Linked DNA regions of Xenopus tropicalis. The protein of the gene in region 1 purifies or fractionates together with the protein of each later gene. This does not show direct contact. Links are inferred from orthologs where the notes say so. Each region holds a gene or a part of one and is shown on either strand. Other genes may lie near its edges.

The links. Proteins that work in one complex are often made in the same cells at the same time.
Region 2: the proteins of pag1 (region 1) and fyn purify together in Homo sapiens (co-immunoprecipitation; 3 studies listed by BioGRID and IntAct, with this or other methods). This does not show direct contact. The link is inferred for Xenopus tropicalis from reciprocal best matches to the Homo sapiens genes PAG1 and FYN.

The regions. Positions count from the first base shown.
Region 1 is NC_030682.2:123,781,716-123,789,233, reverse strand, and holds the end of pag1 (phosphoprotein associated with glycosphingolipid-enriched microdomains 1), read left to right. Parts: intron 1-1,362; coding exon 1,363-1,422; intron 1,423-3,215; coding exon 3,216-3,578; 3' UTR 3,579-5,787; downstream 5,788-7,518. UniProt on the Homo sapiens protein: Negatively regulates TCR (T-cell antigen receptor)-mediated signaling in T-cells and FCER1 (high affinity immunoglobulin epsilon receptor)-mediated signaling in mast cells.
Region 2 is NC_030681.2:76,825,817-76,833,334, reverse strand, and holds part of fyn (tyrosine-protein kinase Fyn), read right to left. Parts: coding exon of another isoform or gene 7,408-7,518; intron 5,858-7,407; coding exon 5,678-5,857; intron 4,176-5,677; coding exon 4,099-4,175; intron 3,941-4,098; coding exon 3,787-3,940; intron 1-3,786. UniProt on the Homo sapiens protein: Non-receptor tyrosine-protein kinase that plays a role in many biological processes including regulation of cell growth and survival, cell adhesion, integrin-mediated signaling, cytoskeletal remodeling, cell motility, immune response and axon guidance.

The DNA.
Region 1 (7,518 bases):
TGTTCTGCGACGCCAATATGTGTTGTTTGGGATGTTGTATGTTTAAACCAGGGCGGAACCACCAGATGCTGCTGAACTACAACCCATTGCATCAGAACAAGCTTTGAATGTAGGTGAGAAGCCGCAGGAGGAGCATGCCAGCTAAACGTAAATGATAGTCTATTCAGATCTACCGTATTTTTCGCCGTATAAGACGCACTTTTTCTTCCCCAAAACTGGGGGGGAAAAGTTGGTGCGTCTTATACGACGAATACGCCTGAGCCCCACTCAGGTTTCCCAGCATGCTCGAGTACAGGCGCCAGTTGGCCCCAGAGAGTGTCACCTCAGTGTCTCAGGCCGGCTCTGCAGCCATGGAATAGGCACAGCATTCAGCAGCCTGAGCGGCTATGGGATCAGCAGGCACCTCAGTGAATGGGGCAACCCCCGGCAGTACTGTGGGACAGCCCCCCCCCGGACGTCTGACAACGCAGAACGTCACACCGAGCGTCGCTATGGCAAGTTGCGGGGTTTCGTATTTTTTAAATTCGCATTGCTTACCCATACTGGGGGGCCTCTTGGGTGCTAGTAGGGTAGGGTGGGGAGTAGTAAATAGAAATGATGGAGCAGGCGGGCCGCGCTCAAGTATGAGGTGAGTGTGGGTGCACAGAGGAACATGAGTGGAACACAAGTGGAACGAAACACTCAGACAGTTTGTGTTATTGCTGTGACAGCGCTGGGACGCACAGCCCGGGCAGGTGTTTCTGGGGAGGAGGCAATAAGGCACTACATGTACATTTAGATTCCGTGGGGGGAGGGCCGGGCGTCTCTTCTCACATGCAGAAAGTATCCCTCAGTGTGACACCGTGCCGTCATGTCAGTGCTCAGGTGACAGGGAGATGTGCGCCTTTGGACCATAGTGTGTGGGGGCGGGTTCCGGCTGCAACATGTACGGGTAGCTGGGAATGGCAATGCCGGGCTGGGCAGGCTGTGTGCGGCGGGACAGTGACAGATGTGCTACTGGCAGATTTTTCTAGATTTTCCTCCTTTAAAATTGGGTGCGTCTTATATTCCGGAGCGTCTTATAGGGCGAAAAATAAGGTAAGTATTTTTCATTCAGCGGTTGGAAATGGAAAACAGTGGCTATGATGGGATAAATAAACATACCTACAGTGTTAGTGAGTGTCCTGGGGGCCACTACAGAGCCTGACATCCTGGACCCACAGCAATTAGATATAGATAGTGCCAGATTGTATAAGTTTTTATATAGGTCCAGGGTGAAAATATTGATCGGCCTAAGCCCACTGGGACATCTCTGGTAGACTAGTCCGACACTGCATCACCCAGCCATTGATTTTCTCCTTTCTTTTTTTTCTTTCCTTTCAGAGACAAAGTTTAGTATCCTACAAATCTCGAGAAGAGGATCCGTGTCTTACAGAAACAGATGTATGTACTTAGAATTCCCTGTGTAACTCATGATACCATTACCTGTGTGCTATACTATGCACATAGCTATAGTTAATTTGGGTTAAAAAAAAAAAGACTCTTCCAAATGCATGTGCATACAGAGCTATCTTTACCTTCACATACATATTATACTAAACTAACTGTGGCCTTGTGTTTGTACAACTGAATAAAACTTGGGATCATTTATCAACACTGGGCAAATTTGCACCTGAGCAGTAACCCACAGCAACCAATCACTAATTAGCTTTTGTTTAGCCATCTGAAAGTATAACAATCACAGCAAACATCTGATTAGTTCCTTTGGGTAACTGTCCAGGTGCAAATTTGTCCCGAGATCATAAATAAGCCCAGTGGTTTACCTGTCTAACTTTTTTTTATCAGAATAGTCATGCAGGTATTCCATTCCAGGCTGCTCTTATGAGAGTAGTTCTCTATGTGTTTTAATCGGGGACCCTGGCCTGTAACTGTATTAGTACGACACTAGAATTCCAGTTGCACCCCATTTATATCCTGTGATTGTCTGCCCATTAATGTGTGCACATAATAATTCTCTATAAGCTATTTATTCAATAGCATATCAATCACAATAAAATAACTAGCAGTAACTGAGTGTGTGTATAGGGACTGCATGAGCATCGGTTAACTCATGTAAAAGCCTACATTTTCCTACCATGTATATAAGTTGGACAGGTCTTCCCCACTCAAATGGCATCAATTGTACTGCATATATCCCCTCTGTTTGCCAGCACCATCACATTTTCCTAAAACAAATACCAGCTTTTTTGGCTGCTCTCAGCCCCTCTCACACATCTTCAGTGACATTTACATCTGCAAACAGCACATGTGTGCATAAAGTTCATGCAATGAAGAATGCAGGCTTACACGGGCAGAACTTACTTTGATCAGAACTCTTGCTTGGATTGTGCCCTGTAAAAGTTATACTGAGCTCAAGACAAGGAGGTTAGGAAAAAAGCATGTTTCTCCAGCAGAGTGCACAAGAGCAGAATATCTGTGGAAATTCTTCGTTGGCTGCTAGACTGGAGGGTGTGTTTGGTAACCAAAGTTGATAAGAACTGAGCATGCTTAGTAGCCAAGAGCCAAAGTCATTTTCTAGGGGAAGGGGCCGAATGGGTTAGAGGCGGAAAAGGAATCCTAAGTGATTGACTAACAGGATGCTGCAGCCTTACTATTAACTTTTTAACAACAGGAGTGGCAAAAAGGCTATTTTACATGTCCTGTAAAGGCAGAAATATAAGGTAGATAATACAAGATAAGATAAAATGCAAGCTTTCTGTACTACTTAGGTGCCTACTTCAGGTATGGTATCTGTTATGGGGGAAGTATAGCCCTTATTCAACAGTTAATGGGTAGGCTTGCGCAAAACATACTTTAGAGTACTCTGAAGTAAGTATTTCTACTCTAAAATGTAAGAACAAATATATAAAATATTATCATAAGACCTTGGGAGTTCTACACAAATCAGGATTAGCCCAGGGCCCTTTGCATATAAATAACTAGCAAAAAGCTTGGTGTTTTCTGCTTCTGCCCTCAATATACAGAGAATGCCCAGTTTTTCCATCATTCCCTGAGCCTGTGGAGCTTACACTTTACCACAGCTATACAAACCCTATCACCCCAGTGGTGTGAGTTTTTCCTTAGTCATGTTAGTAGGTTTGGAAAGAAATAGGTGCACTCAAAAATGTATGGAAGCACGCACACAAATGTTACATTCCATGTTATTGCCCCTTATTTATATGATGTCTCTGTTTTAGATTTCAGCCATGTATTCCACTGTGTCTAAAACTAGTGGGCAGTCCTTCGAACTTCAAGAGGAATTTTCCCACTATGCTTACATTCAGGATATTGCACAGGACACATCCCCAACCACCTGCAATGGTACTTATGCCACTGTCAGAGACCTTGATAAAAGCCCAGATAGCATAGCTGGGCCCCATGCGATGGACAAAGCAAATGGAGGGCCTGATCCGGAGTATGAAGCCATTGCTAACTTAAGCAGAGAAGAGGAAAGGACTATGTTATACACCAATGCTGGCCAAACGCTTCTTGCACATGGAGAGAGTGACTATGAAAGTATTGGGGATTTGGTACAAAATGGGGATTTTACAAGACTTTAAAGGCCTGGGAAGTGACTTTCTCTCTTTTCAAGCTTGAATAGCACATGTCTGTGATGGAGCCTTTTGTACTTTTCTCATTGTGGAGTGAGGACACGGAAAAAGCACACATCTGCTTATTGCTGCCTTCCAGGCCCACGTAGGGGCCTTTTCATATCAGCCTTAAAGAACATGTGCCAGGCATTAACCATAATCTGAAGGATTGCCAAATGGGAACTGATCTTGAATTCAGGCAGCTTCTAGGTAGTTTTGTATTTTTTTTTTTTAAAGAAATCTTCCATAAATGACTTTTATTCTGCAGCTGTACTGTGTATACAAATAATGGGATTTAACAGTGTTGATAATTATATTGAGAGAAAAGCTAATGGTCACAGCAGGATTAAATCTACATTGTTTAGAATACCATTGGATATGCCAGAAAGTGTGTTTTTATTATTCTGAATAGCTTACAATTAGGTTGTATAGCAGCAACGGCAGTGCTTGCATTGTAACATGAAGTATGCAGTAGGCTGATGCTAGAATAAATGGGATCAGACTGATCAAGTTACGCCCCTGTACAGCTGCTCAGCTTTATACTCCGTTCTCATAATCGAGGTATTAAAGTCAATTCTCCCAATGTGGTGGGCCATGTCTGGGAATAAATAAAATATGCACTCCTCTAGTATTATCCCATTATGCAAACCATGTGTTGGGGCTTTTTATTGTTAGACTGGCCACACGCGCACAGGTTCATTCATACAGTTGGACTGATTTAATGTATGACTTCTGACTCTGTGCTCATGTTGCTCCCTTTAATATCATTAATGGATCAGACAAACTTCTGCCCATGACCAGCCTGTCTGAATCTTACCAGCAGTCATGTGATTTCTATTGGTTACTCCTGCAGAACAGGAAATATTTTTCTTTGTTTCACTATACAGTTACCATCATTGGACTTGGGGCTGGTATGAGACAATGGCAGGCTGGCATACCAAAGCTAAAAGTGTCACCCACAACTCAAGTGGAAATGCATTCTATACTGAGGGGTCAGAACCAGAACAGCGAGGCTGGGCTTAGCTGCCTGGTATATCCTATTTATGTAACCAACTTGGAACTCAAGGCTGCAAAAGATTCCCTACAGCTCATACAGCAGGCAAAGGCTGACGAATTTCACTAATGACTGACTTCTAATTATTTTCCCCCAATAAACACCACTTTACTTCTGCTGCCTAAAGTGATAGTAGGGGGTTACATTTTACAAGCAAGGCGGCACTGAGACACACAGCAGGATTATACCAGTTTGCTGCTAGGCGGGGGGGGGGGGGGCACCATAACCCAGAGAGACAGGATCAGTGGGGAGAAATATGAGACGCAGGCAATTGCTAATAGAACCAGTTAATGCAAAAATATTTTTAATACACCTGTGGAAGGTTGTATGATTGCAGAAGAGCCATGACAGAATGAAGTGAAGGGGTTTGGGGACATATATGCCCAAATGAAATTAGAAAAAGGTCTAGGTGATACATTGTTAAAACGGTCTGTTCAATTTACAGGTTCTGCTGCCCTCTAGTGCCCAATAAGTAGAATACTATAAAAGATATTAATTGGTGTAGTTTTATTTTTTATACAGTCCACTTGCCTGAAAAGCATAGTAGCAGCCCTAACTAGCACAGTAATTACCACCATAGGTTGGTTCCTAAGTGACCAGTCCTGCAAAGATTGCTAAGCAGTATTTGTGAGTGTATTTTTAAGCATTAGTTTTGAGGTGCTGGTACAGACTAGTACAGCGGTGTAATATGTTTGCCTCTAATTACTGCCCTACCTACACACATCTGTGGCTCACAATACCTAGCAAACCATACAGTTCCTGCCCCTGCTTTAGATCAACAGCAGTGGTCCCATGTCCCAATGTGGGAAATCAAACTGGCTGGCAAATCAGTTGGTAATCAGTGGGTAATCAAACAATGCTGGCTGACATTCTAGTAACTAAAGGATGTGTATATAGGGCCAAACTTGTACCTGCTCTAATCTAGCATACTTCACCTCTGCTGTATATAAAGCTGTGCTCTTCCATTTTATTGATTCAGATGTACAGGAATTTTGTCAAAAAATGTGAGGTTTAAGGTCCTCAAACATTTGTGAAATACAGACTTCTTTAAGTAGGCTGAGGTTGTAGCAGGATACAGAAAGCTGTCGATGTGACTATTAATTACTCTTCATACTGCCACCCTTTTCTTCTGTAGAAAAAAAACTTATTACTCAGGTATGTTTATTCTTTATTCAACAAATGCTGTAAAGATATAAAACCAAAATGAGTCAATGTAATGTAAAGATGATGAGCTTGCCTTATGTCAATGATCTGGGGAGCAAAAATCTCAGTGTAGCAGTCTTATTCACTAATTCACTTATTCACTGATGCTGGTAAATATAGGGGCAATGTCTATAAAACCAGTAGAGTCCATATCCCAGTCAATAGCAGACATATATAAGGGAAATTCAAATATATCTGACTTGCAAGTGTTTCAGTTTCATGCAACAGACTGAAGACATTTGGGTAGTATGTAATAAATGGTCTTAAGTGTGTTACTTGTCTAAAAATAACCCATAGCAATCAGTCAGCAGGTAGCTTTCACCTGTCGACAAACATCTGATTTGTTGCTATGGTGGTTGCTATGGATTACTAGATGTGAGCAAACAAAAGACTTTTTGTTACATTAACCTGTTGGTTTTTTATATGAGCGGTACAGAAAAATTTGTTTATACTGTAAATATGTAATAAATACAAATAGTATTACAACAAGACACGGCATATGCAGCTTTACAGAGGCAAACAAGCCAGGCCAGCATAGTGTATTGTTTTTGGTAAAAGAAAGGCAAATACCAGTATAGTATTTGGTGTGTGTAACATCAGCCTGCTCCTGGATAATCAGGGGCTTTTGCTTTACAGAGTTTAGTTTTACATTCATTACTGATTTAGAAGGATGAGCAGGGCATAGAGAGCCAGGAAGCACTCTCAATAAGTGCCAATAGTGTAGGGCAGAGGTTTTTTTTATCTTTAGACATTTGGTTCCCAAACATTTTTTATAACTTCCACAATTGGCCTTTAGTCCATAACAAAGTTCTGTGATCCTCCAGTGCAAAAAATATATTCACCCCAACTTCATTGACCTTTAGTCTACCTCCCTAAACAAAGGCCCACCCCACAGCCTGGAACAAGCCAGAAGCCCCTCTTCCATTCTCATTATTAGCTGTGTTCCGCTTTCTGCGCTACAGCAGTGTTGTTATAATTTACCTCCCGTATGTTTTCCACCTTGGTACTATTAGGAGATGGGTGGTAGGGAAGCCAAAGGGACCTGCATGTACATTTATTGTAAAGTGCATTGTAAGAGTAAAGTGCTACTCAAGTACAGGTTTACTATAATACAATAAAGAGTATATGGCAATTGGTTCAGTGTCCTTTATATACTAAATATGCATGATGTTTCCAAGGTGTCGACGATGGTTTCAGATATAATGCAAATCATTTTTGGGGAACTACAAACCACCCCAATACTGTTGGCTTACCAGCCCTTTGCATACAGGAATGATAATGCTCTTGCCTCTACGTAATCCCTGGCAGGCCTGTATTTGTGAGAAGGCCAAAAATCCCTGCTCCTAGGGTGGCATACTGCCCGCCATATTGCTAGGGAGCCACAATCATAACTACACTATCTGTCACATATTCCTTCTTTAGCATGGCTCCTTATTTTCCTTGGCTAGCGTGATGTGTAGGTGGGGGGTAGGGGAGACACTGCTGGTAGGTGGTGGGGGCAGTGGTTGGTAGCAGCAGGTGGGTGCGAGTGGCAGTCTGGCCTAGGGGCACAAAGATTTATCATCCGGTCCTGGTCTCTGGCCTTAACCTGTATAGTTACATAGTTACTTAGATGATGAGGTTGAAAAAAGATGCGCCTACTTCTAGAAATCA
Region 2 (7,518 bases), on another chromosome or scaffold:
AATAGCATTACTAGCAGCTAGCATACTGAAGCACATTAGCTCATTTTTTCTCTGCCTAGTCACACATACAGTGAGGAACATACGTATTTGAACACCCTGCGATTTTGCAAGTTCTCCCACTTGGAAATCATGGAGGGGTCTGAAATTCACATTGTAGGTGCATTCTCACTGTGAGAGACAGCATTTAAAAAAAAATTCAAGAAACCACTTGTATGATTTTTAAAGAATGTATTTGTATTGCACTGCTGCACATAAGTATTTGAACACCTGGCAATCAGCAAGAATTCTGGCTCTCAAAGACCTGTTACTCTGCCTTTAAAAAGTCCACCTCTACTCCACTCATTAATCTAAATTAGTAGCACCTGCTCTTTAAAGACACCTGTCCACCCCACAGTCAGACTCCAACTAATACCACTAGACCAAAGAGCTGTCAAAAGACACCAGAGACAAAATTGTGGACCTCCACAAGGCTGGAAAGGGCTACAGGGCAATTGCCAAGCAGCTTGGTGAAAATAGATCAACTGTTGGAGCAATTGTTAGAAAATGGAAGAGGCAAAAGACTACTGTCAGTCTCCCTAGGACTGGGGCTCCATGCAAGATCTCACCTTGTGGGGTATCACTGATGATAAGAAAGGTGTGGAATCAGCTTAGAACTACAAGGGAGGAGCTGGGAAGAGAGCTGGGACCACAGTTTAAAGGTCACTGTCAGTAGAACACTACGCCGTCATGGTTTTTAAATCATGCATTGCACAGTAGGTCTGAAGCATGGGGGTGGTAAAAACATGCTTTGGGGGTGCTTTTCTGTGAAGGGGACAGGACGACTGCACAGTATTAAGGAGAGGATGAATGGGGCCATGTATTGTGAGATTTTGAGCAACAACCTCCTTCCCTCCCTCATTGAAGATGGGTCCTGGCTGGGTCTTCCAACATGACAATGACCTGAAGCACACAGCCAGGATAACCGTAAGAGGCATATCAAGGTTCTGGAGTGGCCTAGCCAGTCTCCAGACCTAAATCCATAGAAAATCTGTGGAGGGAGCTGAAACTCCATGTTGCTCAGCGACAGCCCTGAAACCTGACAGATCTAGAGGAGATCTGTGTGGAGGAGTGGGCCAAAATCCCTGTTGCAGTGTCTGCAAACCTGGTCAAGAACTACAGGAAATGTTTGGCCTCTGTAATTGCAAACAAAGGCTTCTGTACCAAATATTAACACTGATTTTCTCAGGTGTTCAAATACTTATGTGCACCAGTGCAATACAAATACATTCTTTAAAAATCATACAATGTGATTTGCTGAATTTTTTTTTAAATGCGGTCTCTCACAGTGGGAATGCACCTACAATGTGAATTTCAGACCCTTCCATGATTTCCAAGTGGGAGAACTTGCAAAATCGCAGGGTGTTCAAATACTTACATTCCTCACTGTATATATTCATGCTTGGGACCTCCCAAACTGAGCTGAGGCATTGATTATAGACATATTTATCAAGCAATACACCACACCTAACCACTTTCATACCATGGGGCCTATTTATCAGCAATAAAAGCATCCTAATGCTAAAGGCATGTAGAAAAATGCATTTAATGTATCACCCTAAAGCTGCAATTGTTTGCCATTTAATTATGCTCTCGGGAACCTGCTGATCCAAGGAAAATATCAATACAACAGGGATTCTGAACTTGAAGCATCACTAACTCTCTCTGGTTTCTATTTTAAATATCCCTTTACAGCAGGGATCTGGTACAGGCCCCCAGGAACACATCAATAGCTGTAACCGGAGGATTTTGGCAACTGTAGTTCGGCATAATTTTGGCAGCCAGAGCTTTTATATGTAAAATCAATTTATTTTCTTATACATTGCCCTAGTTTACAAGCTAGTGCTGTGACCCATATAGAATATGTCGACTGTATGAAATATGATGAGATTTTAAACAGCTGGAATGTTTATGTTTTTGCAGCTGTTATATTTTTGCCACTATGTCTTTTTTTCCCTCCTTCTCAGCTTTACCCCCCTATGCTGCTGCCTTCCTCACCCAGCGTTAATGTTCTTCCCTGCTCTTCAGGAAATTCATTGCACTGTGGAATGCATGGCCATCTTGGGTTTTTTCACAAGTGTTTAAGCCAGGCAGAGAGAGAAAGCCAAGCAGCGTGGGAGCACAAGAAAAGAAGAAAACTTTGCTATTGGTATTCTGCTTGAGCAAGTGCATGTAATGCTTGCACTGTATCTACTGATCTTGCTGGCGTGTGTGGAGTGCTCATTGGTCATTTCTACACAGTGATTAAACTGGAACAGATGGGGTTAATATGCTCATTATCCATTTCTGGGATATGTTTTGGTGAAATAGGTATAGTTTTTAAAGTTGTGGCCACAAAGTAGGCATGGTCAATTTTTTTGCTATTCAACAAGATCTTTGCCCAGAGCCTTAAAGGAACAGTAACACCAAAAAATGAAAGTGTATAAAAGTAATTACAATATTATGTACTGTTGCCCTGCATTGCTACAACTGGTGTGTTTGCCTCAGAAAGACTACTATAGTTTATATAAGTAAGCTGCTGTGTAGCCATGGGGGCAGCCATTCAAAGGAGAAAAGGCACAGGTTACTTAGCAGATAACAGATAAACCCCCATTATATGGGGCTTATCTACTAGTTATCTGCTATGTAACCTGTGCCTTTTCTCCTTTTTTCCAGCTTGAATGGCTGCCCCCATGGCTACACAGCAGCTTACTTATATATACTATAGTAGTCTTTCTGAGGCAAACACACCAGCTGTAGCAATGCAGGGCAACAGTACATAATATTGTAATTACTTTTATACACTTTCATTTTTTGGTGTTACTGTTCCTTTAAAGGAGAAGAAAAGGTAATAACTAAGTAAGCTTTATCAGAATGGTCTATGTAAATAGCACTTAATGCACTGAGTTGTCTATCAAAAGAAATACACGATTTCTTGTCTACTTTTTTCTGTGCCAGAGTCTGCACAGCTCTCTCCTCTCTCCCATAAGAATGCTAACAACCCCCCCCCCCCGCCCTTAGGAATGTGGATCTGAGCCAATCAGCAGGAAGCTTCCTCATAGTCTTACAAACTACGCATGTACAGAGGTCATGGTCTTGGTGCAGGAGCGTGGCAATATGGGAATTTTTTTACAAAGCTCAGGGTTCTTTTTTCCTATGAGGCTGAATAGGCAAAATATGGGGAGACTTAAGGGCACTATTGAGAGAACTGAAAGTATGCCTGCAGCTTGAAATTAACACTTTATTAGCCTTTCCTTCTCCTTTAAACAGCCCCGATTCAGAAACCAAACAGCAATGGTGCAGGCAGGAACCAAAATGTGGACTGCAGGAATGGTGCTTGGTTTGGACTGTAGGTCTGATGTACAGTATAGAAATGACCTTACTAGTTATGACAAGCCTTATCTTTGAGTTCCTCCATAATAGGAGGATGTAATGTATTATAGAAAGCTACAACAGCTTCCCACTACATTCAAAAAACATGGAAGTGTTATTTGTGTGTTTTTAAAGGAAGCCAATTAAGCTTGGGCAATGTCTTGCATCTTGCAGATTGACAATTTTACAAGAGACAGCTACCTGACAATTGTTTACACAAGCACTGGGGGGGGGGGATGATTATATGCCAACGACTAAGCTACTGGCAGCACCAAAGTGCCTGAAATCACTCTATGTACGATTGCTTTTATATGTAATACATATTGATAATGAATCTACATACTGCTTTCCAAGTTCCTGTTACCATTCTTTAAAAGCACATCATCATGGCTTTCATACCTTGCCTTGCAGTGTACTCATTGTCTTCAATCAATCTAGCAAGGCCAAAATCAGCAATTTTGCAAATAAGGCCATTTCCAACCAAAATATTTGCAGATCTCAAATCTCTGTGTATATAATTCATTCTCTCAATATAAGCCATGCCAGCAGCAACCTGTCAGTAAAAATAGAAAACATTAGTAAATAAATTTGCAACAGTAAGTAAAAAAAGGCAATAATAAAAATAAATTCAATAATATGGAGTTGATTAATGAAGCTTAGACTGCAGTTTGAGTAATGATGACCTTAATTAATAATGAAACTTTACTGTACCTGGGCAGCCATGTCTACTAAATTTGGCAACTTCAAGGCTCTTCCTTCTCCATCCTTTAGGAAATCTAGTAAACTACCTGCATTAGAACAATATTCAAATTAACCAACTTTATTACTTTTTTAAATTAGAAATTCCAGATGTATTAATAGGATATATAAGAATATCCCTAACAACAGCTGAATTTGTCTTTGGGGAGCCCCAAGGCTTGTGTATATATCTATATATGTATATATATCAGTAAATATTGCCCTTTTACATGCTTTCCCTTGATCCACCATTTAGTGATGGGCTGTGTGCTCCCTCAGAGATCACATGACCGGAAATAATGCAGCTCTCACTGTAACAGGAGGAAGTGTGGAGGCAAAAGGCAGAACTCTGTCCATTAATTGGCTGATGGGGCCTAGCATGTAAGTGTGCCTTGGCTTGTTTGTGTGCACTGTGAATCCTATGATCCCAGGAGGCGGCCCTTCATTCTTAAAATGGCAATTTTCTATTTAGGATAACCCAACAGCACATACTACTAAAAAAGTATATATATTTTTATTTATTTTTTAAAACTTTATTTTTAATTTTTGTTTTACAACAAGGTAGGTTACATATAAAACATGTGGGGGGAAGATAGAAAGAGTAAAGTTGGGGTCGCATAGGGGGTTGGGGGGAGGGAAGGGGGGTTAAAAAGTATATTTTTATGAAAATGTTTATTTAGATGAAGCAGGGTTTTATATATGATCTTTTTAAGAAGTATATTTTTATACAGATCTACATTGTTTTGGGGTATAGTTTTCCTTTAAGGTATAATATTGTCAAGCAAAAATCTCATCCTTTAGTGCAGATAGGCAGCTGATATCTGCTGCATCCTGTTCAGGTATGAAGTGACACTACCCATACTACTCTTCCGCACCAAATGCTCAGGTAAAGAACCCTTTACCGTACGTGCCTGAGGTGTCTGCTGTAGGAGCAGGGCTCACTTGGCATGCAGAAGAAAAATACATCACTGTGGGTCTTACTCCTAAACGCTTATTATATAGTTCCATCCATTACATGAACCAGAATGTGTCTTGTAAATACTAGCAGAAGAGAGCCTATTCCAACAGCAGCAACCAGAAAATATACACTTCTGTAATGCAGTGTAATGGCTATTTACACTAAAGGAAGGCCATGCACAGTGAAGACTTCTGCTAGTCAAGCACTTCCAGATATTGCAAGGCATGCATCTGCACTTGTAGATGATATGCATCTTCCCCGTCACAAAGAGAGCAATGAAACCCACATTAATACCCCTATGCATGTCAGGGGCTTCCTGGGGGCTTTAAAGAGGCAGTTATTTCACTTTGCTTCTACATCTTATCTTTAAATTTGGGTCTCTGGAGAAATTGTCATCTCTAACCATACAACATTAAAGATACAGATAAAGCAGGCTTAGTGGAAGTATTTGTTCAGTTGAAATAACTGGGGTGTCATGGGTATTATGTGTTCAATACAATCTGTGTGTTTCAGTAATGTCAGTCTGACATCATATGATCATAATTTACTAATTAATAAGTATTATATCTAAGAAGAGACTTTTAGAATCCTGACCTTTGCTCATGTACTCGGTGACAATATAAATGGGCTCCTCAGACACTACAGCATAGAGCTGCACAAGCTTATCATGCTTCAGTTTCTTCATGATCTGTGCTTCTTCTAAGAAAGATTCTGGAGACATGGTGCCTGGCTTCAGTGTCTTTATCGCCACCTTTGTGTTTCCATTCCATGTACCTGCAACACAACATACCCAAGAATATGCACATTAGCATCAGCTAGCATTTAGAAGGAACGGAAGAAGGGACCCATGCCATTGGCTCTAGGGTGGCAATTCTCCAGTGCTATGCAAAATCTATAAAGAAATTGTGTGGGGGTATATTTGCCCTTTAACAGGCAGCTCCTGTTACCTTTGTAGCAATGCCACAGGATGCATATACTAAATAAAATAAACTTAATGATAGCTGTGTTTCCAATTATTTGATATTTATTGCCACTTTAAAGGCCTGCTGGTATGAATTCATAACCATTGGCATGGACCCCTCCTTTCCCACACAGAGCTTGGCATGCAATCACAAATACTCATGCACTTTAAAAGCAAGCTGCATGCAATAAAAAGCCCACCCACCAAGAAAAGAAAAAAACAATATTCTCACACTAAAATCTCACCTATTTCCAATGTTAATGCAAATTTAAAACTACATTCAGAAAGGAAAGTTAGTGTGGAAATAAAGTGTTAATAGGATAATTGGTTTTGGATTGTAATTACATGCTACAATCACAATGGTAAAGGTCACAATCACAGAGGAATACAGAAACCGTGGCTAGGTTTTATTTAGGGATGCACTGAATCCATAGCTTTTTGGATCTGACCACCAACAAATTCTGCTGAAGTGTGTATATATGCTTATATGTATGTATGTATGTATGTAGTATGTACATTCTCTGTACCCCTAGTTTCAGGCATGGATTTCTGTTATTTATAGTGACACCTTCCATTTGTCAGTCTGCAGTTAAATTTAACGGAATTTATGAAACACACATACTGAAAGGGTCTGTTCACCCTAAAATTAACTTTTAATATGATGCACACAGTATTATTCTAAGCCAGCTTTTAAGTAGCCTTAATTTTTAATTTTTGTTATTTTATATTCACAGTTTTCTGTTCTACTGTTGGGTTGCCATGGCTAGCTAGATAACCAGACAGCAGATTGGAATCAATGAAATTCACTGCTAACTTTGTGTCATAGATAATGACAGATGGTTATATAGACAGACACCTCTCCATTATATAAATATATGAAAAGATATGCCAAACTTGATGGACTAATGGTTTTCTATAACCTTACCATTTAATAATGCACCATTGTCAATATAATAAACACCTTATGTGGCAGATTTATCAAAATGCGAGTTTAGAGCTTAATACATAAAAACTCACCCATGTTCAGTTCATTCCTATGGGATTTGTAGAAATGTATTTATCAAACGGTGGGTTCTAACTTTCACCCATTGATGAATAAGTATCTAAAAATCCCATAGGAATTAATAGAATGTGGGTGAGTTTGTATGTATTAAGCTCTAAACTCACATTTTGATAAATCTGCCCCTATGTTTTATACTTAATAATTTCATAAATTCTCTACTGTAGCCTATGTGGAAACCTGGAGATTAATAATCTCTGGCACAATTTCTCTTTGCCATTGATGCTAAGTGACTTTTTTAGAGATAATATTGTTTAAAAAGTAGAATGTTTTCTCCTAAGCATGAAATATTGTCCACCTTACCAAACCACACTTCAGCGAAACAGCCCTGACCAAGCTTCTGCTCCAAAGATATTGTATTCCGTGCAACCTCCCATGCATCCTTAGCCAGTCCAACAGTTTGTGGAGTATAAT